7 linked regions of the Cricetulus griseus genome follow. The protein of the gene in region 5 purifies or fractionates together with the protein of the main gene of each other region. This does not show direct contact. Links are inferred from orthologs where the notes say so. Each region holds a gene or a part of one and is shown on either strand. Other genes may lie near its edges. The genes, in order: Iqgap1, Hnrnpu, 40S ribosomal protein S2-like, Elavl1, Stau1, Fmr1 and Syncrip.

Region 1 (3,806 bases), on a different chromosome or scaffold from region 5:
GCTTGTTTGTGCTTCGGATGTGGTGGCTTTGTTGTTCAGCCCCTTTTGTGAAGATACCTGTTGGCCTTGCGGGTGGAGATGGAGGGATGCAGGTCAGTCACTGGATCTCTTTACAGCTCCTGTTGGACCATCAGGACGCCATTGCTCCAGAGCACAACGACCCCATCCACGAGCTGCTGGATGACCTTGGCGAGGTGCCCACCATCGAGTCCCTGATAGGTAATGTTCTTAATGAGCCTCTGAAAAGCTGAGAGGGGACCGCATCAGGGGATTTAGTATCATTGTCTCTCTGATCTTGCGCCATATCAGAGTCTAGATACACAGTGGGGAACAAAACTAATATAGGCCCCACCTTATGAGCACCTGAGTCCAGTGAAATAGCAGATACTTTTAAATACAGAGACAAAAGTAATACAGATAATCAGAAAGTAAGTCTTATAGTTAGATTGTTGACAATTTTTTGAGACAGGGTCTCACTTTGTAGTCCTGTCTAGCTTGGAACTCGATAAGACCAGGCTGGCTTCACACTCCCAAAGATCTACCTCTCTTGGCCTCCTGAAGGCTGGGATTAGAGGTGTGCACCACCGTGCCCAGTGAAACGAGTTTTTCACACTTTTATGAAGTTACTGTGTTATGGACCCTTCTCCTCAACCATTTGCCTCAGTTTCCTTTACTTCTCAGTAACAACTGCTCATCACACTGAAGGGCATTGGTTTATCAAGAGTCATACTGACCTGCATTGTATTTATTTGAATTATTTTCCCTCCAAAGTGTTTTTTTATTACATTGACTCTTTCTACACTTCAAAAACTGCAGGGGAAAGTTGTGGCAATTTAAATGACCCCAACAAGGAGGCACTGGCTAAGACAGAAGTATCTCTCACGTTGACCAACAAGTTTGATGTGCCTGGTGACGAGAATGCAGAGATGGATGCTCGGGCCATCTTACTGAAGTGAGTATTGAAAGGGAGAAGGAAGCGGCTTAGAATCCAGTTCACCTGGAACAACCATCCTGGCCTCTCTTGCCCGTCACAGTGCTCATCACCCTGCATCGTGCTTGGCACAGGACTTACTTTGCTAACATACAATTACAGTCTTGGAACTCCTCCCCTGTACCACCTGCTATAGTTCCCTTGCTCCTTGTGCCAGTAACTGTCCCTCTGGGTGCTGTAGCAAGGCGCTGTGGGGTGACGATGCTTCAGATACTGCTCAGATCCTATGACAAGGAGGTAGAACACACAGCCATGTTCAAACCCATTCCCATCTCATTGCAGCACAAAACGTTTAATTGTGGATGTCATCCGGTTCCAGCCAGGAGACACCTTGACTGAAATCCTGGAGACACCAGCCACCAGTGAACAGGTACACATGAAGGTTTCACACTGGATAAGCTTTTCTATGATAGGTGCATCCCTGGGTGGGGATAGGGGCACAGGGAAGGGATTGGACCCTTGGGTGAGCATGGATCTGGCTATGGAACAGTAGTAAACAGGGCTCATCTGACTGAGAAAGTTGGTGGCTCCTAAATCCAGAAGGTGTTCTTAGGATGAAACATGAGATAGAGAATACAGGATAGATGAGAATTTAATCTGGGACAGAACATGTTGTCTATGTAGTAATTTAATGACTGTCTTATAGTTGTAATTATATGAAGTACCTTGGTTGTGTCTATAAAAGTACAGGGTGTGGCTCCAAACTTTAAGGTCCATTTAGAAAAATTATGATACATGCATCTGAAACCATAAGACCATTAGAAATTAGCTATAGTATTGATTATAAAAATGCCAGGGAACTGGAGACATGGCTTAGTGGTTAAGAGCACTGATTATTCTTCCAGAGGACTCGGTTCAGTTCCCAGCACCCACATGGCAGTTCACAACTGTCTGTAACTCCAAGATCTGACACCCTCACACAGGAATATATGCAGGCAGAACACCAATGCACATAAAACAAAAGTCAAAAAAGATTCCAGAAGTTTCTGGCTATGGTGGGCATGCCTTTGATCCCAAAGATATCTGTGATTTCAAGGCCTGCCTGGTCAACATAGCTAGTTCCAGGCCAGCCAGTGAGACTCTATCTCAAAATAAACAGAAACACAACAACAACAACAAAAAACCCCACAGTTTTTGAGGTGGAGGCCAGTGAGGAACAGTGTATCAGGAAGTCACAACAAAAGAAACAGAACCCAAGCCACACTTAAAGACTGGGAGGATCTGGGTGTGATGGAAAACAAAAGAGCAAATTCTGGGGAAGAGAGCCCACAGGAATAATGGGACCAAGGAGGGAAGAACACAGTGAGATCTGGGGTGAAGATGGGCGGGGTAGTTATGAGAAAAGCAAAGCTGAGGGTGGAATTATCTAAAACTCTAGAGCTCAGACTGGGGTGAGGAGATGGTGATGACAGCCATGGATGATAGCCGTGGATGCCAAAGTCAGAAAAGACGATGAAGTTGTTACAGAATGATCAGTTGGGCTTGGCAGTACTCAATCTCTGCTCAGTTGAGGCAGGAAGATTACCAAGTTCAAGGCCAGCCTGGGCTATCTGGCAAGACCTTGTCTTGGTTGTTTTTTCTTAAAAAGTAAGGGAAAGGGTAAGGAAAGACAGCAGAGTCTAAGGAAGGTTCCTTGATATGACAGTATTTGCAGTGTGCTTGGGAGCAGAGGGCAGCAGGAGCCTGCTCCAGCTCAGGCAGTGTGTCAGGAGCATTAGCAAGATTTCACTGGGCACTGCTATTGGTGTTAATTTGTGTAGTTATGAGCCACATTTTGACTTCAACATCCTAAATTAAGCTGGGAAAAGGTAAAGGATTTCTTAGCTCATAGAATCTAGTTTTCTGGCTACACCTAGTATCAAGAAAGCACAGCATCTGGATTCACAGTTGTACTTTGCTAGGTGAAATGAGGTATCTCACTTTGATGCTGTTCCTTGTCTGGTAGAGAGAAGACATTTACAGCAGACTTGGAGAACTCTGTATTCAATTGCAGATATGCTGTGAGTCCAGGTTTAGGGCTCCTGTGGTGAACTTACCAAAAAGTATTTTTCTTTTCATCTGTAGGAAGCCGAACATCAGAGGGCCATGCAGAGACGGGCTATCCGGGACGCCAAAACCCCCGACAAGATGAAAAAGACAAAACCTGTGAAGGAGGATAACAACCTCAGCCTTCAGGAGAAGAAAGAGAAAATTCAGACTGGCCTAAAGAAGCTAACAGAGCTTGGGACCGTGGACCCAAAGAACAAATACCAGGAACTCATCAACGACATTGCCAAGGTACTGCATGTGGGAACAGTGGTGGCCCGGCCTTGTTTACAGCCGCATCAGGAGCTCATGAACAGACAGTAGCCACTCAGGCCACAGCATAGCTTCTCGTATGCAGAATAGTACAGTCTGACTCTGACATCAGGACTTCAGTAGAGCTTCCAGTGTCTTGAGTTTTTCATTGCCTTTAAAGAATCCTTCAGGGCTTTTTCATAATTGCTATGGAATATATAAAGTTGGTAAAGTTTGTGTGAATCACCCAAACCAGGGTTCTAATTTCACTGGGATAATGCTGTTTGCACCGAGGAACCTGGTTTTTTTTTTTTTTTTCCCTCTCAGGATAGCATGTTTATGAGGTCTAGACCAGCTCTGTAAGTAAAGTATGTAAACAAAATGTGAGCACACAGCTCCCTGTTGCTAGAGGATTTAAGCAGATGAGATCTGAATTTCTTTTAGGTTGCAAACACAGGTCGCTGCCTATTAAGAACAGTCAGCATGTTTGAGTTCAGCCCGGCTGGGTTGTAGAGTTCACGAATGGTGATGGCTCAAG
Region 2 (4,411 bases), on a different chromosome or scaffold from region 5:
AATCAACCAAAGGAATCATTTTATTAACAGGTTAAGTTATATTAGCCAAATAGGATAAACTTCATTTCTATGCTTTCAAGTTTCAGATGCACAGAAAGAAGACAGGGCCAACCATAGCTTTACTGCCAGAGTACTTGGTTTTGTAGAAACAGGGTCTCAGGTAGCCCAGATTAGCTTTAAATTCTTTATGTAGCCAAAGATGACACACACACACACACAACCTTTTTGGTTTTTTGAGACAAGGCATCTTTATTTAGCCTTGGCTGTCCTGGAAATAGCTCTGTACACCAGGATATTTGGAGCTGGGAGATCTGCCTGCCTCTGCCTCCCTGGTGCTAGGATTAAAGGTGTGTGCCACCACTGCCTGGCTGACTGAATTCTTGATCTTCTTGCCTGCATCTCCCAAGGGTTGTAATTATAGACCTGTATAAACACACCTATTAGGCACAATCTACACAGAATGGCCCGTGCAGAAAATAAATTCTATTTCTACCTAAAAGTTTCAAGAACATAACATGTTTTTAATTACAGAGAAAAATAGCAACAATTTTTTGTTTGTTTGTTTGAGATGGGGTCTGTCTGACTATACAGCCCAAGGCGGCCTGGACTTTACTATGTAGCCCTGGCTGGCTTTCAACTCTTGATACTTCTGCCTCAGTCTGCCAAGAGATAGGACTGCAAGTGTGTAGACAACTCAGTGTGTGTCTGAAAAAACGGGGAGAATCAAAGTGCATTAAAATTTAGCTGGATGTCCCTCTCATGGTTAACTAAGGGAAGTCCTTCCTGCAAGAGGCCTGTCTTTACAGTGAGTCTAGGGGAATCTTCCATGCAATTCTAGGGGTTACTCAAGGGTCACTAGTAAAGACGGTGAGAAGTGCACAAGGCCCACACTGCATGCCGTGCGGCACGGAGCGGTAGGGCAAGCCTGCGCCTCCCCAGGCCTTGCACCACCGGGTATGGAAGAGACAAAAGAAACGCTGGGGCCTCGCCCTTGCGGAACTTAAAAAGTCCGATCGGCAAGGCAGGGCTTGTAAAAAATTAAACTGCAATGAAGTGGAGGAAGAAAAAAACAAAACACAAAACAAAAAACCACCTCTGTCTAACAGCCGCTTATTTGTGCTCTGCGGAGCAGCAGCGGAAACTTGGCGGAGTCTTAAAGCGAGAGCCGGAGGGACAGACAAAAAAAAAGACAAACTAAGATGGAAGAAAGGAGGGTGTCCTCCAGCGGGAAATGCCAGATGAGGACGCAGGGCGGGTGCAGGGGAGCCTCCTCCGGGCCCACGGAGGCGGACGGCCCGTGGAGCGCGGCCGCCGAGAAGCCGGAAAGGCCGGCGGCCGCCGCGGCCAGTCGGTTTAACCGAAAGGCGGCTTCCTGAGCCTCCATTTGCGCGCCGGGGCCCAGCGCCGAGGTCGCCCCGTGGGGGCGGGGCGGGGAAGGGGCGGGGCCTGCGCGCGCAGCCGCCCTAGCGAGCCCCGCCCCGGCAGGGGGCGGGGCGCCTATATTACGTGCGCGGCGCCGCCCCGGCGAGAGGACGTTGCGTGCTCGCTCGCGCCAGGCGAGTCTCCGCGTCTTGCCTCGCGAACTCGGTGAAAGGAATTGGCGCCGTTCGACACCAGGCGGGTCCGCTCTGCAGCACTCAGCCATCTCCAGCCGCAGCCGCCGCCCGGGCCGACCAGCAGCCGCCGCCACAGGCCGAGGGAGCCAGCAGTCCGCGGTGAACCGGGGCCCTCACCATGAGTTCTTCGCCTGTTAATGTCAAGAAGCTGAAGGTGTCGGAGCTGAAGGAGGAGCTCAAGAAGCGGCGCCTCTCCGACAAGGGCCTCAAGGCCGATCTCATGGATCGACTCCAGGCCGCGCTGGACAACGAGGCCGGCGGCCGCCCCGCCATGGAGCCCGGGAACGGCAGCCTCGACCTGGGCGGCGATGCGGCCGGGCGCTCGGGGACGGGCCTCGAGCAGGAGGCCGCGACCGGCGCCGAAGACGACGAGGAGGAGGAAGGCATCGCCGCCCTGGACGGCGACCAGATGGAGCTGGGCGAGGAGAACGGGGCGGCGGGGGCGGCTGACGCGGGCGCGATGGAGGAGGAGGAGGCGGCGTCGGAAGACGAGAACGGCGACGACCAGGGCTTCCAGGAGGGGGAGGACGAGCTCGGCGACGAGGAGGAGGGCGCGGGCGACGAGAACGGCCACGGGGAGCAGCAGTCCCAACCGCCGGCGGCGGCCCCGCAGACCCCGCAGCAGCGCGGGGCCGGCAAGGAGGCCGCGGGCAAGAGCAGCGGCCCCACCTCGCTCTTCGCGGTGACGGTGGCGCCGCCCGGGGCGAGGCAGGGCCAGCCGCAGGCCGGAGGTAGGAAGGCGGAAGGCGGCGGGTGAGGGCTGCGTGGTGGGCGGGCGGGCGCGCGGCTTGTAGGCCCGCGTGGGGACCGTGCCCCAGGCCGGCCGGGGCCCCAGGGGCGAGCGACGCGGGCGGGCGGGGGGGGCGGGGGAGCCCCGGGGCCGCCGAGAGGATGGGCTCGCCATGCCGGCGGCGCCTCCTCCATTATGTGTGTCGGGCGCCGGGGGGAGCTGCAGCTGCCGCGGTGGGGGAGGAGCCGGGCGGGAGCGGCGGCCGCTGGAGCGCTGCGTGCGCGCGGTTCGGGCACATGTCTGGGGGGAGGGGGAAGGTCCCGGGGCGGGCGGGCTTTGGCGGCTCAGCGCCGCGGTATTGTGCAAGGAGCGCAGGGGCTCGGTGTGACGTCACTTCCGGCGGGAGGCGCCGGGCGCGGGGAGTGAGGCGGAAGCTCAGTACAATGCGGCGGCGGGGCACGCGGGCTCGGATGGGGGAGGGGAGGCGGGCCCACGCTGCCCTGCCCTCCCCCCCACACCCCCCGCCGCCGCCGCGCGCACGGCGCGCAGCACGTGGGCCCGGACGGCGGGCGCGCGGTTTTAGTCCTTAAATGCATTCCGGAAGGTTACCCTAGGCTGGCAGGATTAGCAGCGTCTTTAGACTGCGTCACCGTCTCCAGTGCAGTTCCAGGCTGATGGATACGATTTTTTCTAGATTCATATTAGTTTCGTGGGTTAAAAAGTCTCAGAACTCGCCTGGCGTTGGTGCCATACGCCTTTTTCCCCAGCACTCGGGAGGCAGAGGCAGGCGGATCTCTGTGAGTTCGAGACCAGCCTGGTCTACAAGAGCTAGTTCCAGGACAGCCTCCAAAGCCACACAGAAAAACCCTGTCTGGAAAAACCAAAAATAAAAAAGTCCGAGATCCAGTCTAGGAGGGAAAAAATAACAGCCCCTAAAAGTCCCGGAACAGAAACGGGAGCTTTTCTCTATAATTCAGTCTGTGGCCTGATGATTTAAGGCTGTGTTCTGTGTCGTTATAGGAGACGGTAAAACAGAACAGAAAGGAGGAGATAAAAAGAGAGGTGTTAAAAGACCGCGAGAAGATCATGGCCGAGGATATTTTGAGTACATTGAAGAAAACAAGTACAGCAGGTAGAGGATCCTAACCTAGTTTTATTTGTCACCCAGTTTTTATGCGTGGTTGGGAAAGCTTTATCAGGAGACGATTCTGTCTTTCAGAGCCAAGTCTCCTCAGCCACCTGTTGAAGAAGAAGACGAACACTTCGATGACACAGTGGTTTGTCTTGATACTTGTAAGTGAAGCAAACTTTCCCGCTCTTTTTCTCAAATATTTAAGTGCAGTGCTATTTTGGTTTAACTCTTAGGAAAAGTGTGTTTGTATATCTTAAAGTGGAGAAAACCCGTTAGATTGTTTTAAATCAGGAAGATAATAGCTCATGTTCAGGTTACAGTAGTTTTATGTTTAGCGACACTTCAGTTGTATTGCTGTTTTTACAAGCTCTACTAATTGATACTTATGTCATGGAAGTTCCCAATATTTAGGGATGTAAAACTAATACCGATTTTTGTTCAGCTTTCAGAAACTTGTTTTTAAAACCTGCCTGTAACATGTCCTTAGATAGGTAATATGAAAATTAAAATTTTTCTGTGGAGCTACTATATTAAGTGAGCTATTTGGGCTAGTTGAATACTTACTAACGATTTTCCCATTAGCGCACAAGTACATTCCCTATTCTAAGGATTGTCATATTACCTTTTCAATAACTGCTCTTTTGTTCTCAATTCCAGTTCAGTAGCTGCTGCTCTAACATAAGTTGATTTCTTCCAAAGACCTGGGGCAGCAGCAGTGGGCTATCTGAGCCACTAGCTTTCTTCAGCAGCGAATGGTATCAATGGCAGCGCTGTAAATATGCTACTTTAGAGTATGAGGAAGTATTGCAAGCCATGAAATGGGCTTTAGCTGTCAGATTTGTATTTTGATCCTTTCAAGAAGTTTGTTAGTTTAGTATTTGATAGGGATGTATAATGCTTGGTGTGAGCAGAACAAAAGGTGCTTGAATAAAG
Region 3 (2,937 bases), on a different chromosome or scaffold from region 5:
GAATAAGCTTGTAAATTCTACATGGATTTTTGGAGTAACCTGAAAAATATACCAACTTCCAGCTTAAAAACCTATATAGCCCTGGCTGAGTATGTCAGTATGAGGTGCTTTTTACATATCCTTTTAACAGGGAGCTTTGGGTAGTATGCAGATAAAACTTCAATCCAATATGTGGCTTGTTTGTTTGTTTGTTTGTTTTGCAGGAATTGATGGTGTTACACAAAGAACCCATCAAGAGAGCTGCGGGACACAGGAGCAAAGTACAATGAAACTACTGGGTTTGGAGGCAGCAGCCTGGGCTTAAAGTTCAGTGCAGTTATCACTGTGAACATGGTCACACAACTTACCCATGAGGAGCACCTCTTTACTTCCCTTACAAGGGACACATGGGACCTCTGTCATGTCTGCAACTCTCTCACAGTTCTATCCTTGTGCTAACTGCTGGAGTTCTCATCTCCTACTTTACAGGTAAGACATGTCCAGCCATGGTTCACTCTCAACAGGATGCTTGATTCTAAATCTGTCTCGCCAGGTGACTTATTTTGCATGCCTTACCTGGCCTATACAAGAGTGAAGAGTAACAGAGCTCACACCTTTGATCCCAGCACCTGGGATCACACACCTTTAATCCCAGTGCTAGGGAGTTATATAAGACAGGAACAGGGTCTCAGAGCAGGCGTTCATTCTCCAGCCACATGGAGGATAGGAAGACACTGAAGTCTCAGGATTCTCCAGCCACACTGAGGAGAGGTTACAGTCTGAGGTTTGGTGGAGCCAGGATCCCCTTTCATTCTGAGGTAGAGTGAGAGCTAGTGGCCAGCTGCTTTGCTTTTCTGATCTTCATCTTGAAGTTTGAATTCCAATATCTGTCTCTGGGTCTTTTATTTATCGAGTTACACACAATGTTACTTCTGGCCTTCACACACATGTGCATAGGTGTGCATGCACACACATGTGTGTATACACACAAAGACACATGAATATGTATCCACAAGTACAAACCTCTTAGGAAGGAATAGGAAATCAGAGACAACATTCTGGGATTGGTTTTGTGGCACAAAATGACTGCAGTTTAATCAACTGGTTCACAGAGAACAGGCCTGTTCTACACTAAAGGTAAGCAGATAAATGTATATTTTTATGTGTTTTTTAAAAAGTGTGCTTTTTTTCAACTAACTAATCAGCCTCTAACCCCAGCTATCACTGATTGACAACAGGGTTTTCCTGATCTTATACGATAGCTTCATAAAGTAAATGACAAAATAGATAACACTTCATAAGCGGCAGTGTACAATACAAACTAAGCTATCTTATTAAAAATTAATAAACATTTGTCACAAGTGCTTATGCCTTTGGCATTTGTTTGTTTGTTCTGAGAAGGCTATGACAGGAATTAGCTCTATAGTTCAAGATAGCATCAAACTTAATATGTAGCCCAGGCTGGCCTTGAACTCACAGAAATGTCTCAGGGGCCACGGTCATGGTCGTGGTCGAGGACATGACTGAGGACGTGACAGCAGCCTCGGGGCTCATGGAGGTAAAGCCGAAGACAAGGAGTGGATCCCTGTCACCAAGCTGGGCCATCTGGTTAAGGACATGAAGATCAAGTCCCTGGAGGAGATCTACCTGTTCTCCCTGCCCATTAAGGAATCCGAGATTATTGATTTCTTCCTGGGTGCATCCCTAAAGGATGAGGTTCTAAAGATCATGCCAGTGCAGAAGCAGATTCAAGCTGGCCATCGGACCAGGTTCAAGGCTTTTGTCGCTATTGGGGACTACAACGGTCATGTTGATCTTGGTGTTAAGTGCTCCAAGGAGGTAGCCACTGCCATCAGAGGGGCCATCATCCTGGCCAAACTTTCCATTGTCCCTGTGCAGAGAGGCTACTGGGGGAACAAGATTGGCAAGCCCCACACTGTTCCATGTAAAGTGACAGGCCGCTGTGGCTCTGTGTTGGTGCGTCTCATCCCTGCCCCCAGAGGCACTGGCATAGTCTCTGCTCCTGTGCCCAAGAAGCTACTGATGATGGCTGGTATTGATGACTGCTACACATCAGCCAGGGGCTGCACTGCCACCCTGGGCAACTTTGCCAAGGCCACCTTTGATGCCATCTCCAAGACCTACAGCTACCTGACCCCCGACCTCTGGAAAGAGACTGTATTCACCAAGTCTCCTTATCAGGAATTCACTGACCATCTTGTGAAAGCCCACACCAGAGTCTCTGTTCAGAGGACCCAGGCTGCAGCTGTGGCCACCACATAAGGGTTTTTATACAAGGAAAATAAAGTGAATTAAGTCTGAAAACAAAACAAAACAAGAAAACACAGACATGGAGAGAAAAGCAGGTAGCTGAGAAACTCACTGTTGCCTGTGTGTCCTTGGAGGAATCTGTGCTTACAGTATTGGAAACCAGAAAAGTGCAACTGTAACATGAATACGTTGGACAAAGTAACAGTTCATAACCCCAGGCCAGGTGAAGCAGGATGGCACAAGATTTCAACACACTACTTAAAAGAGCATACCATGTAAAACATATGCATTGCTCCTTTGGGGGATTTTCCATTTAATAGTATTAAGCCAGAGTTGATGTAAGATAACTGAAGTCATGGAAAGTGACATGACAGATGAAGGGAACAACTGTACTCAACAGCCAGATGCATGACCTTCACAGTCTGGCAGACAGCCACCACTGCTACCGAGCAAAAATCACTTCTGATCATCTTGAAGCAACAAGAATGTTTGGTGCAGTCTGCTGTCAGTGTGCAGGCTCACACAATCTTCTCACCTGGTCTTCCTGGAAACCTGGGTCCTGACCACACGAGAGTGCACAGTGCAATGCAGCCATCTTCTCACAGTCCAGGTGGGCGGCGTTCCATAGGAACCACAGCAGGTACGACTGGTCAAGGGTTGCTCTATAGACCTTTCCAGAAGAGCAGT
Region 4 (4,297 bases), on a different chromosome or scaffold from region 5:
AAAAACATACACATCACCTCTAAATCCAGCACTCAGGAAGCAGAGGCAGGCAGATCTCTGCGAGGCAAAATCAGTCTGGTTCACAGTTCCAAGCCAGGGCTATTTAGGAAGACCCTGACTAAAAGAAAACACGCAAAAAAAAAAAAAAAAAAAAAAAAAAGACACGAGAGACAGAGAGAACTTTTTTTTGGAGGGGAGGTTGTTTTCGAGACAGGGTTTCTCTATGTAGCTTTGGAGCCTATCCTGGCACTCGCTCTGGAGACCAAGCTGGCCTCGAACTGAGAGATCCACCTGCCTCTGCCTCCTGAGTGCTGGGATAAAAGGCGTGCGCCACCAACGCCCGGCTCAAAGAGAACTTTTTTAATCATGCAATTTGCATATACTTTTCTGATAGCACTAGCGCACAACAGCAGCCCCCAAAGGGACAGGCAGTTGTTTTCTAATCACTGCCTGACTGGCTGACACATAGTATATACTTAAAATTTCAAAGAACGGGGACTGGCAAGATAGCTCAGTAATTAAGAGCACTGACTGCTCTTCCAGAGGACCCTAGTTCAGTTCCCAACGCCCACATAGCAGCTAACAACAGTCCAGAGGAACCGGCATTCTCTTTGACCTCCGTAAGCACTGCGCGCATGTGGTGCACAGACATACATGCAGGCAGAAACCCACCCATACACTTGAAAAACAAAAAACTTAAAACCAATAAATTTCAACGTTAGAGCCTTAGGGAATGCCATGCTGACCACATCCCTTAATTCACTAGTAAGAAAACTGAGGCCAGGCGAAGTGACGTCAACCGGTGCTCAACCTCAGGCGGAACCGAAACGTCGGTAGGAACCGGGATTCGAACCAGGGATTCTACCCTCCTAGTCTGGGCTCCCGATGACCACACTGCTTACTGTGGGCGTAGGCGGCTGCACAGCCCGTCAGATGAGGACCACACGGCATGCGTTCCTCAAGGAGAGCCATTCCTCGGCCTCCGCTCCAGTCGGCGTCTGCTGCGCGCCTGGCCCCAGCTAGCCCCTTCCACGGCCATCGCTGGCCACTCCGAGTCTCCACCGGCCGCTTTAGCCCTTCGCAGGCGGCGCCGACAGGAAGTCCTGCCTCCGCCGCACGCACCAGAGTACCTCGACAGCCATACTAGCCAATGAGCGCAGGCTCTTCGAAGACGCCGACCAATAGACGAGCGCGCTGAGAAGGGGCGTGTCTGGCCGCGGGGCCGGGGAGCGGGTCGTGCGCGCTGAGGAGGAGCCGCCGCCGTCGCCGCCGCTGCCGCCGCCGTCGCCGTCGCCGCTCTGCCGCCTCCACCACCGCTACCGAGGCCGTGCGGAGCCGTTATCGCCGCGCCGCCCGCCCCGGAGCAGAGCCCCGGGCCTTCCCGCCCGTGTTCAGGTGAGGCCGGGTGGCTTCGGCGACTTCCGAAAGAGTAGGCCGCGCTAGGGCCTGAGCTCGCCTAGCCCCGCGGGCGCCCGCCGGGCCTGCACCGGCCGAAGGCCCCAGGCCGCGCCAGGCCTGGGTACGGAGACGCGCGTGTGGGCCGTGGCTAGGCGAAGGGAAACCGACTCGGTTTGATCCAGGTCGGCGACAAGCCTCCCCCGGGCCAGATTCCTCTCTGGGCTCCCGCGAGAGAGGCGGGAGAAGGACACGGCGTGGGCACGCGCTTTGGGGGGCCGGGCTCCGAGGCTTTGGGGGGCCCTGCATAGTCAGTCTCGGAAGCCCGGTGATCCGGGGGCGGAAGAGAGGAGCGAGGGCCTTGGGCGCCCAGAGGTCACGGCCCACGGACTCGCTCCCTCGGGAAATCCCACAGATTTCTTTTGTGGCCGATTTTCAGGATACACCGCGACGGATCGTGAGGTCCTTTTAGAAGTGTGCAAACCTTTCTTCTGTATGTGTGGAAGTCCTAGAAAATAAAAGGAAACAAATTTTGATCGACATCTCTAACAAAGCTGTTCTCGGGACGTTTGCGTTTGTAAAATAATGTATAAATATTGAAAATATAATTGCACGCAGTTGAACAATGGGAAGTGAAGGAGGGTCTTTTCTCTTGTCTTTCTGCTGCTAAAGCATGTCAAAATGGGTTTTGACACCTACTGTGTGCAGGGCAGGCGGAGAACTTTTTTGCGCTGGACAGAGCTTTCATTATCGAAAGTGTATCCTGTGGGATACCGATGGCCAAGTGCTCTAAAAGGGGCAAGATCCGATGATAGAGAAAGCTCTTCTAACCTCCTTGCTACAGACAGTTAAGGTCAGATAATGGTTGGTTGTGGGGGCCTGGCTGCCCTGTGCATTGTAGGAAGTTGGATGGCATGACTGGCTTCTGCCTACTAAGTATTAGCATCTCTGCCTCCCACTTCTCCCAGTTGTGAAGACCAAAAATAAATTCAAGCGTTGCTAGGGGTCTTTCTTGCTCTCCCCACCACCAAACAGATACACACACAGAGGTGAGAAATCCTTAAATAATCCTTCTAGAAAAGTTCTTCCAGCCCTATCTCTGATGTTCTGTGGGATGCTCCTAAGATTTTCGAGTAGGCTATATTGAACTGCTTGTAAAATAGCAGGATGAAAGTACTGGGCAACCGTAAAGATGTGAGGAAAATCCCAGGATTGTGCATGCCACACATGGAATACATGATATTACAAATAATCAATCACCATGTTTTAAAACTTCAATATCCACTTAAGAGAAGAAAGTAAAGTTTAGCTTAGGATAATCTTGTACGCTCAAGTGGCCAGTGCAGGATTTGAACGCAGGTCCGAGATTCCCCAATGTATTGACACTGAACGTGTGTGTACAAAACTGCTGAGGTCTGGTTTTTAAAATGTTGCGGGGCTGGAGAGATGGCAGACAAGAGCACTTGTTGCTCTTGCAGAGGACCTGTGTGTTCAGTTCCTGGCACCTGAATGATGGCTCACAACCATCAATAACTCCAGTTCTAAGGGATCCCATGCCTTCTTCTGACCTTGCAGGCACCAAGCACAAATACACTTCCCATACATTTGTATAGACAAAACACTCACATATAAATCTAAAGTTATTTTTTAGTGTTGTGACTTGGAGGTCTGTGAAGAAGCTGAGAGAAATAAGAAACATTTCTGTTAGCACTGGTTTGAGGGAAACAAATTTGGATGTGTTCAGGAATAGGTCACAGGGCAACATTAGAAAGGGAGAGATTGAAAAACATACTTTTTCCTGTGCTTGCTCAGTTGCTTCCCACACTTACTGCTTCTCTTCTCTCTGCCTTTGTACACCTGCAGAAGTTGACTTTTGAAGATACAGATCATGCTTCTCCTCATTAGAAGTCTTGGGGTGGGGTGGGGAGTTGTGTTGGGCTGTTCAAATGGCTCTAAAGATTTAAATGAGAAGCCCTTAGTTTGGGGTGACCCTCTACACCCTCTGACCCTGTCTTATCTTGGAAGAAGATCTCTTTCTCATGCTGTGTGGCCCCGTCTCAGAGCACAAATACCACTTGAAGCTGCCTCCAACTGCCAAGGCTCCTCCACCTTCTCCAGAATCAACTGTTCTTGGTTTGTGTTCCCATCCCATTCAGTGTGTTCAACCTAGTTACATGCTGAATGATGAAGTGAGATGTAGTTCTGCCCTTTGCCCCTAGGTGGCAGTAGTTCAACAGTGGTCCTGGTTCTAAGAGAAGACCTAAGGAAATTGGCCAAGAGGGAAGTGAGTCTTTGTGTCCTCCTCCCCCAAGCTGTTTTCTAGCTCAGAGGCTACCTTCTGCAGAGGCCATAGTGTATGTGACCTGTGTGTAGATGATTTCAGCCTAGCTGGTGAACAATAGTAATGTACCAACCAAGGTTGAAGCACAGGTAAAGGAACTCCTACTGAAGCCCAAGAGACCTCAGAATGTTCCCTGGAGTTGTTGAGGCAGGAAGACTGGTAGGAAATAGCTAGGTAAAAGGCCAATGGGAAAGGCTCTTGAAGAAATTGATGAGGGGTGGGGGTGGGGAGCTTCCATTTGTTTGGGAAACCATGCAGGGTATGGAACTTTTGGGAAAGTAGAATGAAGCGAGTAGCAGATCTCTTGGGAAGAGAGCTCAGATATTATGAGGGCCCTCTCCAGATCCATGCTAATTGACAGAGAGGGTCACATTTGCACAGGAGGAGTTAACTGGCAGTCAGAAAACCAATTAGGTCTCTACAGGGAGCTCCCTGTAGAGACAGGGAGCATTGAGACAGACATAATTAGAGAAATCCCATGACTTTGAATTTGGACATGAGAAAGAGCAATGGTAGCCAACCCTATCCAACACTTGAGTCACAAAAAATGAGTGGCCACAG
Region 5 (3,806 bases):
GAGGGCTAAAGCTAACTAAATGCAGCTTGCAAACTTAGGGCCCCTTTTGTGGGAACTGATAATAGTCATCCCAGACCATACTGGTACCAAGAAAGGAATGAGAGAATTCTGCATGTATTCTGTGTCTGAGAAAGAAAGAAAATGACAGTGGGCTGGGGACACAACTCAGTGGCAGACCACTTGCCTGATATGACCAAGGGCCCTGGGTTTAGTCCCCAGCATCGTCATTAAGCATTTGGAAAGAGTTATTTCCATAAACACAGGAGAGGCTGCAGTTCCTTCAGTGGTCAAGAGCACTGCTATTCTTCCAGTGAGCTGGGTTCAGTTCCTAGAACCCACATGGCAAGACAAAGTGGGACAGAGGAGAGTGAGTGGGGTGGGCACTGAGTGAGGGCAAGATGTACTACCATGTATCATTAAAACAACATCAACCTTTTGCTTATTCTCAGGTCTACATCAAGGAGGGTACTGCCTAGAAAACATGGGGCTCTCCAGGGGTTCAAACCAGATTGCAGCTGCTTCCCCAGAGTTGACCTGCTGCTCACATTCACTCAGGGCACTCCTGCCTTCCACGGACGGACACCACACTGACCCTGCAAATGCTCACTTACGCTGACACTGGTCCATTTCCTGTTCTTGGCATCTCTGTGCTCTGTTGGTCCAACTCAGACAGCAACTTTAAAATGTTGAGTGCAGCCTAGAAGGGTGGAAGGAAGGAATAGTCAGCCAGAGAACAAGCCAGACTCTCCTGGAAAGAGATATCAAAAAATGGATAGCAATGTCTTAAAACTTTTTTTCCCCTCCCAATGTAATGTTTGAATCACCTACCCCGCCCCCAACCAGCAAGATGGTTTCTGTGTAGCCCTGGCTACCTTAGAACTCATTCTGACCCCTTTCCCCCCTAACTCCGAGATGTCTGCTCTAGCCAGTGACAAATCTCCTGTATGCAGACTCCTCTCCTTTAGGGTTTAACGTCACCTGAACAGACTTGGTGGGGGGGGGGGGCAACTTTCTACAGCTCCCAGAATAGAGGCTGAAGAGTTTAGACTGTTTGAAAGGTTACAGGAGAACGTGTCCCTCTTCCTGAGACCACCAACAGTCTGAACAAGGCAATGTGCCAGGCTCAGCCAGCTTCTCTCCGCAATCTTGGGGCCCACATACCATATCGTGACAGGACTCCACATCCTTGCCAATGCCGTGGCTAACAAGGGGTGGCTGTGAGGAGCAGTTGATGAGAGACACACACTCGTTCTTGTTGTTCTTGGGGAAGTCTTTGTATTCAACCTAAGAGAGAAGAGCACACACCCAGCCATGTGAACCCCAGCCCAGAATCCTCCAGGGTCCTACTTAGGTTTTAAATGCTGCTTCCTAAAGAAAAGTGTCTTCTCTCCCTAGAGACCTGTCATGCTTCTTACTCCATAATCCCCCTCCACATACACTTGCCCTGGTGCGTGCGTGCATGTGTGTAAAGCACGTGGCATGCCGGGTATGCAGGTAAAAGGACAACTTGCTGCAGTTAGTTTTCTTTCCACCAACAATCCAATTCCAGACTGTCGGGTTTGGTGACAATGCACCTTTATGCAGTGAGCCACCTTGTCACACCCCAGACCTGCCCCTGCCTCTCTCACTTCCTGCACTGAGCCACACTTTACACTCAGACCATATGATCTCACTTTTCCTGGTTTCTGTAGTACTGGGGGACAGAACCTGGGTTCTTCATATAGAAGATGCTGTAAAGGTCATTCTCTGAGGCCCAGAGATGACCACAGAAAGGCAAACAGTTACCTGGAATCCCTGGGCTCTGGAAAGGTAGTACAGCTGCTCAGAGGGTCTTGTGCGAGGTCCATGGGGTACGTGTCCTGAAGAGATGTTACTCTTTAAAATGGTCTCGGCTGTGGGCGAGGTGCCCCCGTACAACAACTCTCGAGCTATCATGGCAGTTACCGTGGCCTTGGCAGGGTTCGGAGCTGCCCTGGTGAAATCTTTGGTGTGGTGTCCTTGACTAACCCCAACAGCCTGGGCAACCTCTGGCACCATGGGGAGGATCCCGGCTGGCAGCTGCTGATGGCTCAGATAAGGCATCCTGAACTCATCCTCTTTATGACCTGTGAGGGACATACAGGTCACCACAGCCACCCCAACACCCAAGAAGCTACAGTGCCCTCTTCACCACCTCAGCACATACAAGCTCCTGTGCTTCAGTCACATAATAACCATGCAAACCCAGACACGGGATCAAGAGGGTCACACTTACTAGTTGCATTTTCATCCCCAGGGCTAGGTTCAAAAAACGTTACTTTCCTTCCGTCTCCTGGTTTCTTTACTGGGGTCTTAAGAAAGAAAAATGGCAGTGAGCATGGACAAGCGCTGGGGTCTGTGTGCATTTTATCGCCACCCATACACCACACAAGCTCTCATGCCTGCCCATGCTGGCATTTACATGGAGCAGATCATGAATGCAGAGCTGGCTCTGTGCCAAGGACCAGGAAGTGCTGGTTTAGAAGTGCTCAGCCCAGTGGGAGAATAGATAGGGTCTGCACTGGTGCTGAGGGGTGCCTTACATTACCTAGAACTAACATCCAGAAATGCTTCCACAAAGAACACAGAGGCATTTAGTGCATGACCGTCAGACACAAGGCAAGGGGGTTTTCAAATGGGAAATCTGAAAGCCAAATCCAGGTTTATGCAACTCCATATGGAATGTCTGCGTCCCAGGTAGTGACTTTGCAGGCACAGTGGGAGCTGTTTCTAGTCATGAAATGCAGAACTCAGAAGAGGCTCAGTCCTACTTTAGTGAACCCCAAGGACAACGGCTGGAGCCAGCAATAGTGGCTGATGTTCTCCTGGAGTCTTGTTGACCACTCTGCAGAGTAATATTCAACTAAGAATCACAGGAGAATTCTCAATCTGAACTATATAGATTTGGCCTTTTGTTAACAATGCTATCTTGTCCCAGAGAAGCCAAAGCCAGATCCATAGGAGCAATATGTCATGCAAACCCCTTTGAAGCACAGATGGTAGCCATACGTATTCATTCCAATCCCAACTACCCATCAGGAGAGAACAGGACATCCTGCAGAAATGCACATCCAGCCCACAGCGACACTAAACAGACTTAACCAAACCACTCGTGGGACACGGTGAACTGGACAGGAAACTTCCCTCCTGCAAACACTATCAAGTGGACGAACCCCAGGGGGCAGGCTGCTTACTGCAGGGAAGATGAAGCCTTGCCCCAGGCTTGCCCATGCAGGGAGCTAGGCCACCTGGCAGTGAGAGTCCCAGCAGTCACCTTCTCTTCTGATTTGAGTGCTGGCTTGGCAGGCTGCGCCTGGGGAACTTTGAACCCCAAGATCTCCAGCATGTTCTCAGCAGCATTGCGCTTGGCCACCTTCTTATTGGTACCCGCTCCTTCTGCAGTGTGGTTCCCAACCTTTACCTGCAGAAAACAACAAAGACCTGTGGCTGAACCTTCTAAGACACAACAGAAACTGGTTGCTGTGCTGCCAAAAGGCCCCGGGGATGACTTTGCTAAACAGGATGGAAAAGGTGTTTTGTGCAGCCAATTCTGAAACTATTGCTGTGACGGCCACATTCAAGTTAGAAACGTTTAAAATCTACAATAAAGAATACTGTATGGAAAATGTGTGCCTCGATCCTTTCCATCAACATATTTATAAAGACAGGGATCTAACCATAGTGATGCCTCCCTCCCATACCACTCTTCTGAGGGCTGGCTGTTGGACAAATTCCAGCATACTCCATTAAAGCCGTTCTGACCACAGGTGTCTGGCTGCTAAAATCAA
Region 6 (3,806 bases), on a different chromosome or scaffold from region 5:
TTTAAGGAAGTTTTGGACAATTCATTTTTGCCAAGTTTGTCAAAGCTGCTATAAAGTGAGACTGCTTCTTCTATGTAACATGTTATCATTAAAGTACTAGAGAGTATTTAAATATCTAATCTTATTCCTTTCATTATGTATGTTTATCTCTGTTTAAAAGGGTATAGAACTTCTTCATTCTAATTGGTTGTCACTCTTTAAAACTCCTGTCTTCAGATTCCTGCCAGAGGCTATTTCCCTAACTTACTATTTCGTCTCTTAAGGTGCATTTTATCTACTTTTATTAATCCTCCAATAATTGCCATCACCATACATTTATTTTCATTGATAACTATCTAGTACTTCCATCCATTACCATAGAAATTAAATGGATTTTATTTTAATGTGCCAACTCAAGTAGATTGCTGTCAAATTGAAGAGGCCCTCATCATTATTCATTTTGTTAGGGGAATTGTCAGTTGATAAAGCAAAACAAAGGGGGAGTTTAAAATTGCAGTTAAAAGAAAAGGTAGTCAAGGATGTGAAAATTGCCACTTTTCAACTTGATGTGTGATTGATAAACTCTTAACAGGAAAGGAAAATTTTACTTTTGTTTTCCAAATGGCCGCTGAGGTCTGATCTTTTTTTGTTTTTGTTTTTGGTTTTTTGTTTGTTTGTTTGTTTGTTTGTTTGTTTTTTTGCTCTCATTCTTTCTTGATGGTCCCCCAAGTTCACAATGTGGTTTGTTTAGTGATTTTTTTTCTCATAACTTAGGCCACAGCAGTCTTCTTAATTTCATTGTGAGTATTAAGAAAATACCTCTTCCTAAGCATCTAATTCTTCTTGAATGCTCTTTGCCATACCTTTAGTTTACGTGTGTCCATAAATTATCAATGGAAAGAATGAACCAGGCTAATGAGTCAAGATCCAAAAACGTGACTTCTTGGAAAATCCTAGAATATTTTGTACACTTTACTACTATTACCTTTAAAAATAACTATTCTTCTTTTAAAATTGCTTACATTAGATATTTTCATTCATTCAAATTATCAGGTGTGTTGAATAATGATAAACTAGTGTGCATGCCTATTTTCTTCACTACTAATATTAAAGGGGTTCATATATCCTTATAAGAAATACCCATTTTTCAACATGAGCCACTAATATGTTTGATTTTCATTAATGGCATGCTAGAACTAAACATTCAGTTTTGGTATGCTACTTAAAGACAGTGATTATCCACATGTGTGGGGTATCATTGGAACTTAGTTTTGTCATTGATGAAGAGTTCATTGGGGATCCAGATCACAAAGTCTTACAGACTCTGATCACGTATGTGAAACAAATTTGAGAAATCTATATTCTGTAAGTGTTCACTTAACTGATAAGCCAGAAAGTTTTAGAATTCTTTTCCTTAAGTTTTGTGTTCTTTTAATGCCACATTTCAGCAAAATGCTTAGATCCACCATACCTGGTGATGTATTATGAAAGTGACACCATTTCTAGAAAAAGTACTAATATATCTATAATAAAAGTGCAGTGAGTAATTTTTTTTCCTTAAAGATGGTATTTTTATTTTGTTACTTAATTTCATTGAGTCTGTCAGACCAAGTGAGCTGTTTTTTAATTGGGATTATTTTGTCTGCTTCTTAATTATTAATTACATTGTGGATATCATTGAATAACAAAGGCAGCCTTGCAAATAGGTTTTCAAAAGTAACCTTGAAAAACTGTCCACAAGCTCTTTCCTGTTAACAAAAAATGTTTTAAATGGCACAGACTCAGTAGCCTAAAAAGAACTTATGTGTAATTCTAAAATTAGTTTTCAAATAAAGCAATTTATAGGACCCTGATATATAGGGTCAAGATAATTTACATGGCTGGCCTAAATAAAATTGTCTTCATAATTGATAAAGTATGTTCATCAGTTGTGCATTTCTCTTTAGAGTTCAAGGCAGCTTGCCTCAAGATTTCATGAACAGTTTATTGTACGAGAAGATCTGATGGGTCTAGCTATTGGTACTCATGGTGCTAATATTCAGCAAGCTAGAAAAGTACCTGGGGTCACTGCTATTGATTTAGATGAGGATACCTGCACATTTCATATTTATGGAGAGGTAAATATTTCACTATATAATCCAGTTCCCCTGCAAAACAAACAAACAGTATTTCAAATGATGTATCTTTTTTGTCTTTGTACTACACCCACTCACCCTGCTTTATTAGGATCAAGATGCAGTGAAAAAGGCTAGAAGCTTTCTGGAATTTGCTGAAGATGTCATACAAGTTCCACGTAACTTAGTAGGTAAGTCAAAAATAACTATTAATATATACCACAAATAATTCTGTACACAACTTCTGTATCACTTAAATCTCTTTCTCTCACTAAGAAGTGTAATCTAATTAGAGCAATTTTTTGAAATGTAATCTGTTCTTACAGTGTATAGAAAATACATACTCAAAGATTCTATTTTCAGATATACAAGAAATACTTTGTTCAGACCTATAAATGTCTAAAAGGATAAATTTTACCTAGACTCCTTATATCATTTTTTATTATAGCCTTTAATTTTTTTCACATGAATGAAAATTGAGGCTTTGGTGATATTTGTTAAATGATATTTGTTAAAGTGATAGCATTCATTAAATTTGAAAGATAAATTTAATTCCTAGTATCCTAGGAATTTTATGGATTCAGTGGTAATTCTTCATTTTAAATTGATTAATACTGTTTCCTAATCATTAGTGTGATTAGTGTTAGAATAGGATCTTTTCGTTGGCATTCCCAAATAATTCAGCTATGTTTGGTAGAACATACCAAAGGTATAGCTTTATATAAAAACCATAAGAAAAAACAAAATGTGTTTTGAATTTATAAATAAGATTGGGGCATATCACCTCTTAATCTCTTGTAGGAGTTTAAAATGAACAAACTTCCTATGTATTTTACGTACATAGTTTAAAATATTCATAGGCTGCATTTTATCAAAATAGAATCATAATCATCTTCCAGTGTCACATAGACAGACAGACAGGTCTTTTTCAAGACCGGGTTTCTCTCTTGAAACAGAATTCTGGCTGGCTGTCCTAGAACTTGCTCTATAGACCAGACTGTCCTCAAACTCACAGAAATCTGCATGTCTCTGCCTCCTGAATGCATTCCAGCATTCCAGTATCATTTAAAAAGTACTAGTAATGTCCCAGCATCCAGGAGACAGGCAGAAGAATCACAAATTCAAGGACAGCATAGGGTACATATAGCAAGACCCTAATTCCAAAAACTGGTCCCAGAGTCATGGTATATTTCCCATTAATAAAAAGAGCTTCAAGGTCAAGTACAAATACTAGCAAAGTTAGTAGCTGACATGTACACTAAAACAGAAGTTTGTGAATATAGTGTTACTGTGGTAGCACGCATCCAGTTGTGTAGAAGATCCATGCCTAGAATAGCACAGGATGACGTGATTATGATAGAACTGTGGGTGTCCTTTGAAGTTTATTTGCATGGCGCTGTGGTAGGGGAAATGCTTGGCTGTATTTGGTAACTGTGTGACTTTGGATATCTGATTTAGCCCTTGAGAGGAGAATCTTTTTTTCTTCACTTACCATGTATATGAATGTGGTGATAGTCTAGCAGCTTAATGGAGGTGTGGGTACGGGTAGTACAGTTCTGGGCAAAAGAGGAAACTATATGTTCTCTTTTGTTTATCTATAGCTACTCCATTTCATTAAAACAATTATAGTACATTGTTTCTTTGGAATTTGGAAGTAACTGCAATATAGGATTAGACTGCTAACAAAAAGGAAAGAGATTATATCTGTAGACT
Region 7 (4,582 bases), on a different chromosome or scaffold from region 5:
TGTGTTGTCCACCTGTCAAAGCACCATTTTATGTGCCTAGCACTTTGAAGAGTATCTAACTTTCTTTGGGCTACTGGCTTGCTATTATAGCATAACGCTCATTTAGGGGGAATCAGTAGCTTTCTAAAAATAACCTTTTTTTTTTTTGTCAAAAGGATAATGCTATTTTCATTACCGTTGCTCTGGATAAAACTAGTATCCATAGCCGGGCGTTGGTTGTGTACGCCTTTAATCCCAGCACTCGGGAGGCAGAGGCAGGCGGATCTCTGAGTTCGAGGCCAGCCTGGTCTCCAGAGCCAGGGCCAGGATAGGCTCCAAAGATACAGAGAAACCCTGTCTCGAAAAAGCAAAAATAAATAAATAAAATAAAAAATTAGCATCCATATCGTCTGGGATACAAGCGCCTTTGTCTTCTCTTTCTTGTACCTAGTAAACGGTTACAAAGGAAATGTCACTTCACATAACATGTAGTTACCAAGATGTTTGAAAAGAGACACGGACATTTTCCTCACAGTTGTCCTAAATCACGAAGCTTTGTGCTGCTTCAAGTTGTTCAAAGTGTGCCAGGAGGAGCACTCAACTGCTTCGAAGGCCAGGGACAGGAACGGAATATTGCACAACCCAACACCACCGGGCCGGTTAAGCTTCCAAATCTGGCCTCCGTGTCATCCCCGGGCGGGAGGCACTGGGATTTCCTCGCGAACCCGCCGCGCGGTGCCCCTCCCTCCGCCCAGGGGACTCGTGGGAGCGGGAGGACGGCGCGCGCCGGGCCGCGGGATGCCCCATTGTCCAGCGGCGGAAGCCGGGGCTCCCCGGGGTGACTCCCGAACTCGAGCCCCGCCACCCGGCCGCCCGGAGCTCCGCCATCCCCGTGCGGCTCCCCCCCGCAGCCCCATTGTCTGCCTCGCCTCGCCCCGCCCCGGGGGACACGTGCGCCTGCAGCTTCCCGAGCGCCCAGGGGCGGTGCGGCGGCGGCCCCGGCCGAGGTCCCGGCCGAGCGGGCGATTAGTGCCGGAGCCCCTCGGAGCCCTCGGAGCCCGGGGGCCGGCGGCGGGGCGGTGGGGCGGTGGGGGCGGGGAGGGCGGGGTGGGGAGATGCTTGTCTCCTGACAAAGAACGAGTGGGACACGCCGAGCAGGCCGCCCCGCCCGCGGAGCGCGAGGGAGTGTCCGCACGGAGGGCGGGTCTCTCATTCACTTGGCCCCTCATCGCCGCCGCGGCGGAAGGGCGGGGTCTCGACTCCCCTCTCCCCCTCCCCGCCAGGAGCTAGGGGCGGGGCGGGAGGCGGAGCCCACGGGCGCGCGTCCTGAGGCGTCGGCTGCGTCGTCACGTCAGCGCGGGAGAGAGAAAGAGCGACTCGGCAGGGACTGGGGACGGGCCGAGAGAGCTAGCGAGGGAGGGCGTGAGCCAGAGTGCCAGCGAGGAGGAGAGAAGGGCGGCCACTCGTGTCTGAGCGGCCGCGGACGGGAGTGGGGACGCTGGGGGAGGAGGTGCAGGGAGGGAAAGGAGGAAGGCCGAGGGGACAGGGCGGCCGGCGGCCGGCGGCGGCGGCGGCGCGGCGGCGGCAGGGGAGAAGGAGGAGCTGTAGGAGGGCAGGGGCTGAGGGAGTGAGTGAGAGAAGCGGACGCGCCAGGGAGGGGAGGGAAGGGGGGTCACGCGGGGGCGCGCGCGCGCACTGGGAGCGCGCTCGGAGGCGAGTGGAACTGGATCGGGTTTGCTGCCAGCGGCGTGAGCTTCGGCCGCCATTTTACAACAGCTCCACTCGCGCCGGACACAGGGAGCAGCGAGCACGCGTTCCCCGCCACCCGACCCGGTCGGACAGGATTCCTCGGCCGCAGCCCCGCGGGGAGGTAACGACCGCCGGCACCCGGGTCTGGGAGGGGGGCTCCATGACATTGTGGAGGGAGCTTGGGGGAGGGCGGCGCGGGGAGAAACCGGCTTTTCTGGAAAATGGATTCCAAGGGGGAGAGGAGCACGTTGGCCGGGGCTGCCAGGGAGTAGGCCGCGGCCGCGCCGCCACTTCCTCCTCTCCATGTGCTGCCGCGGCCGGGCTTTGTCTGCGGCGCTCCGGGAGGAGGCGCCTCGGCAGCCCCGTGGCCCGCGCGGACCGCGAGCGGCGGGCGGACTTGGTGCTGTCGTGGCCGGCGGCGCGGGAGTGGGCGGAGAGGCGCGGGGTGCTGTCCCGCGGCCGGCCGGCCGGCCGGCGGGCTTGGGCGGTGCTGGGCTCCCGCGGGCGTGCGCCTGGCGGCGGAACGCCCTCCCGGCGCGGGCTGTCGGCCTCGGCGCCCGCAGCCGCTGCACCGAGGGGTGCGGGAGGCCGGGGGTCGCGGGCGGCTGGGGAGCACCCGGGGCGGAGAGCCATGTGTCAAGGCGGAGACGGCGGCGCTGGGGGGCGGGGAGAGCCCGTGGCCTGGCGCCGCCGCGGCCTCGGTGTTGAGAGGCGAGATTGTGCGGCTGCACGGTTCGGGGGGCTCGGACCGCGACTGCGGGTTGATGTTGAGAGGCGGTGACGACCGCCTTGGCCCGGTACTCGGTGGGTTTCCGTTGAAGGAAGTTGTAGGACATTTGAAGGCGCAGAGCACGTGTTTCTAATGGGCTCCTGGCGGCCGCAGTGGTGAGGCTGCCGCTCCGGGTGCGGAGTCGGGGGCGGGCTTTGGGGTGTGGGGGTGAAGGGTGGAGGAATTGGGTGGTGGGAAGGTGGCTTGTGTGAGCGCTTTGTTCTTCGCTGGCTGTTGTTACTGATCTATAAGCGGCAGGCGGGAAAAGCGCACTTTCTGGTTTACCTTGGAGAGAGACAAGCCCAGCGTTGCTTTTCTTCACACACACCTTATTCTCCGTTTTGGAACTGCTGCATGTGGCAGGCTCGGCCGGTCCCTGTGCTGATTGGGCTTCATTTGTAATACGGTTTTTCCTAGCGAGTGTTAGCAGGTGAAGTCAGGGGTGGTGATCAGGAAAGAATGTAGTGCATCGGTCCGTCTGTACCCCGGGCTCCAAATCTGGCTTGTCAGGCGATGGTGACTTTAAGGTTTCTTTCGAGGGAGGCGCAGGCTGGCTGGTTGTAGTTACTGGTAGAAAGTAAAGATTGGGACTGTCATTGTCCTCTATTCTTTTTGAAGACCCTAGTTTAATTTTGCTTATTGCGTTTGAACAGATCTCTGGAAACATGGCTACAGAACATGTTAATGGAAATGGTACTGAAGAGCCCATGGATACTACTTCTGCAGTTATCCATTCAGAAAATTTTCAGACATTGCTTGATGCTGGTTTACCACAGAAAGTTGCTGAAAAACTAGATGAAATTTACGTTGCAGGTAAGAAACAACACTTGCAAAATTACATTATGAAATTTTTCTATTGGATTTCTGGCTTTGAGCTAAAATAGCAACTTTTTGTGGTTTCCAATAAATGTGGGAACTGGAGCTTTGCCTTGTTCTGATAGTTGGTTAATTTAGGTTTGATCTAGAGGTTAAAGTGTAGAGGGAGGGATGAAGTGGGGAAAAGACCTCCCTTAGGGGAACGCTGTCTGGCCTGACAGATAAGTATATGATAGTAGCAACAGCTGCTAAATGTTGAGAGCAGCCCATGTGACTTTTTGGGGTATTTTTAAAGCAGGGTTCTTGTTTAATAACTTGGTTACTGTAGGCTAGTTCTCTTGTTTTTCTTGGTGTGGTGGTTCCTTTTTTTCTAGTGGCATTTGACATTGAGTAGACTTGCAGTTGCTATGCTTGGTGTTTTGTTGGTTGACAGGATTTGTAGGCTTATATATTGTAGAAATATTGCAGTGTTCAGGATTACTTGGACACAAATGGGATGTAAAATATGTTGACTTCTTTCTGTGTGGTTGAGAGGACTTAGCTCAGAATGGCTAAAATATATTCTTCATTATGTAGATAAGGGGAGTAGAATCGCCACGTGTGTGTACCTGTATTGGCCAATACAGGACTTTCTGAAGAAATAATTTGGAAATTTTAAAAGGTGATAACTAACTACATTTTCTCTTTCCAGGGCTAGTTGCACATAGTGATTTAGATGAAAGAGCTATCGAAGCTTTAAAAGAGTTCAATGAAGACGGCGCATTGGCAGTTCTTCAACAATTTAAGGATAGTGATCTCTCTCATGTGCAGGTAATGTTAATTTCAGTGTAGAAAAAAGTACTTTTGATCTTATTTAAATTTAATTAGACACAGACATAATAGTAATGTTAATATGAATGGAAAATTTCATTACAGAACAAAAGTGCCTTTTTATGTGGAGTCATGAAGACTTACAGGCAGAGAGAGAAACAAGGGACCAAAGTAGCGGACTCCAGTAAAGGACCAGATGAGTCAAAGATTAAGGTATGTTTTTGAGAACTTTCTGTAGCTTTAAGTGTGTGTGTTTTGTTTTTGGAGACAGTGTTTCTCTGCAGCATTGGAGGGTCTTTAGACCAGACTAGCCTCTAACTTAAAGATCTGCATGCCTCCACCTCCCAAGTTGCTGGCATTTAAAGGTGTGTGTGCCACCACTGCCCGGCCTTTTTTTTTTAGTTATTTTCTAGCTTTGGTAAATATTCCTGCAGTGTGGCATGAATATATTTCTAAGGT

What was found.
Region 1: the proteins of Stau1 (region 5) and Iqgap1 purify together in Homo sapiens (affinity purification with mass spectrometry; 4 studies listed by BioGRID and IntAct, with this or other methods). This does not show direct contact. The link is inferred for Cricetulus griseus from reciprocal best matches to the Homo sapiens genes STAU1 and IQGAP1.
Region 2: the proteins of Stau1 (region 5) and Hnrnpu purify together in Homo sapiens (affinity purification with mass spectrometry; 4 studies listed by BioGRID and IntAct, with this or other methods). This does not show direct contact. The link is inferred for Cricetulus griseus from reciprocal best matches to the Homo sapiens genes STAU1 and HNRNPU.
Region 3: the proteins of Stau1 (region 5) and 40S ribosomal protein S2-like purify together in Homo sapiens (affinity purification with mass spectrometry; 3 studies listed by BioGRID and IntAct, counting the BioPlex papers as one, with this or other methods). This does not show direct contact. The link is inferred for Cricetulus griseus from reciprocal best matches to the Homo sapiens genes STAU1 and RPS2.
Region 4: the proteins of Stau1 (region 5) and Elavl1 purify together in Homo sapiens (affinity purification with mass spectrometry; 3 studies listed by BioGRID, with this or other methods). This does not show direct contact. The link is inferred for Cricetulus griseus from reciprocal best matches to the Homo sapiens genes STAU1 and ELAVL1.
Region 6: the proteins of Stau1 (region 5) and Fmr1 purify together in Homo sapiens (affinity purification with western blotting; 3 studies listed by BioGRID and IntAct, with this or other methods). This does not show direct contact. The link is inferred for Cricetulus griseus from reciprocal best matches to the Homo sapiens genes STAU1 and FMR1.
Region 7: the proteins of Stau1 (region 5) and Syncrip purify together in Homo sapiens (affinity purification with mass spectrometry; 3 studies listed by BioGRID, with this or other methods). This does not show direct contact. The link is inferred for Cricetulus griseus from reciprocal best matches to the Homo sapiens genes STAU1 and SYNCRIP.

The regions. Positions count from the first base shown.
Region 1 is NC_048596.1:116,873,785-116,877,590, forward strand, and holds part of Iqgap1 (ras GTPase-activating-like protein IQGAP1), read left to right. Parts: intron 1-116; coding exon 117-219; intron 220-816; coding exon 817-952; intron 953-1,273; coding exon 1,274-1,361; intron 1,362-3,055; coding exon 3,056-3,268; intron 3,269-3,806. UniProt on the Homo sapiens protein: Plays a crucial role in regulating the dynamics and assembly of the actin cytoskeleton.
Region 2 is NC_048598.1:15,817,513-15,821,923, forward strand, and holds the start of Hnrnpu (heterogeneous nuclear ribonucleoprotein U), read left to right. Parts: upstream 1-1,524; 5' UTR 1,525-1,734; coding exon 1,735-2,347; intron 2,348-3,366; coding exon 3,367-3,478; intron 3,479-3,565; coding exon 3,566-3,639; intron 3,640-4,411. UniProt on the Homo sapiens protein: DNA- and RNA-binding protein involved in several cellular processes such as nuclear chromatin organization, telomere-length regulation, transcription, mRNA alternative splicing and stability, Xist-mediated transcriptional silencing and mitotic cell progression.
Region 3 is NW_023276806.1:173,250,409-173,253,345, forward strand, and holds 40S ribosomal protein S2-like, read left to right. Parts: upstream 1-1,505; 5' UTR 1,506-1,596; coding exon 1,597-2,262; 3' UTR 2,263-2,273; downstream 2,274-2,937. Other genes in the region: Gsap (gamma-secretase-activating protein), read right to left, coding at 2,786-2,937.
Region 4 is NC_048597.1:89,139,576-89,143,872, reverse strand, and holds the start of Elavl1 (ELAV-like protein 1), read left to right. Parts: upstream 1-1,233; 5' UTR 1,234-1,395; intron 1,396-4,297. UniProt on the Homo sapiens protein: RNA-binding protein that binds to the 3'-UTR region of mRNAs and increases their stability.
Region 5 is NC_048599.1:12,481,703-12,485,508, reverse strand, and holds part of Stau1 (double-stranded RNA-binding protein Staufen homolog 1), read right to left. Parts: intron 3,440-3,806; coding exon 3,293-3,439; intron 2,331-3,292; coding exon 2,255-2,330; intron 2,106-2,254; coding exon 1,786-2,105; intron 1,285-1,785; coding exon 1,162-1,284; intron 698-1,161; coding exon 612-697; intron 1-611. UniProt on the Homo sapiens protein: Binds double-stranded RNA (regardless of the sequence) and tubulin.
Region 6 is NC_048604.1:6,733,322-6,737,127, reverse strand, and holds part of Fmr1 (synaptic functional regulator FMR1), read left to right. Parts: intron 1-1,925; coding exon 1,926-2,096; intron 2,097-2,205; coding exon 2,206-2,284; intron 2,285-3,806.
Region 7 is NC_048597.1:198,399,498-198,404,079, reverse strand, and holds the start of Syncrip (heterogeneous nuclear ribonucleoprotein Q), read left to right. Parts: upstream 1-1,654; 5' UTR 1,655-1,849; intron 1,850-3,150; 5' UTR 3,151-3,162; coding exon 3,163-3,310; intron 3,311-4,004; coding exon 4,005-4,123; intron 4,124-4,228; coding exon 4,229-4,336; intron 4,337-4,582. UniProt on the Homo sapiens protein: Heterogenous nuclear ribonucleoprotein (hnRNP) implicated in mRNA processing mechanisms. Component of the CRD-mediated complex that promotes MYC mRNA stability.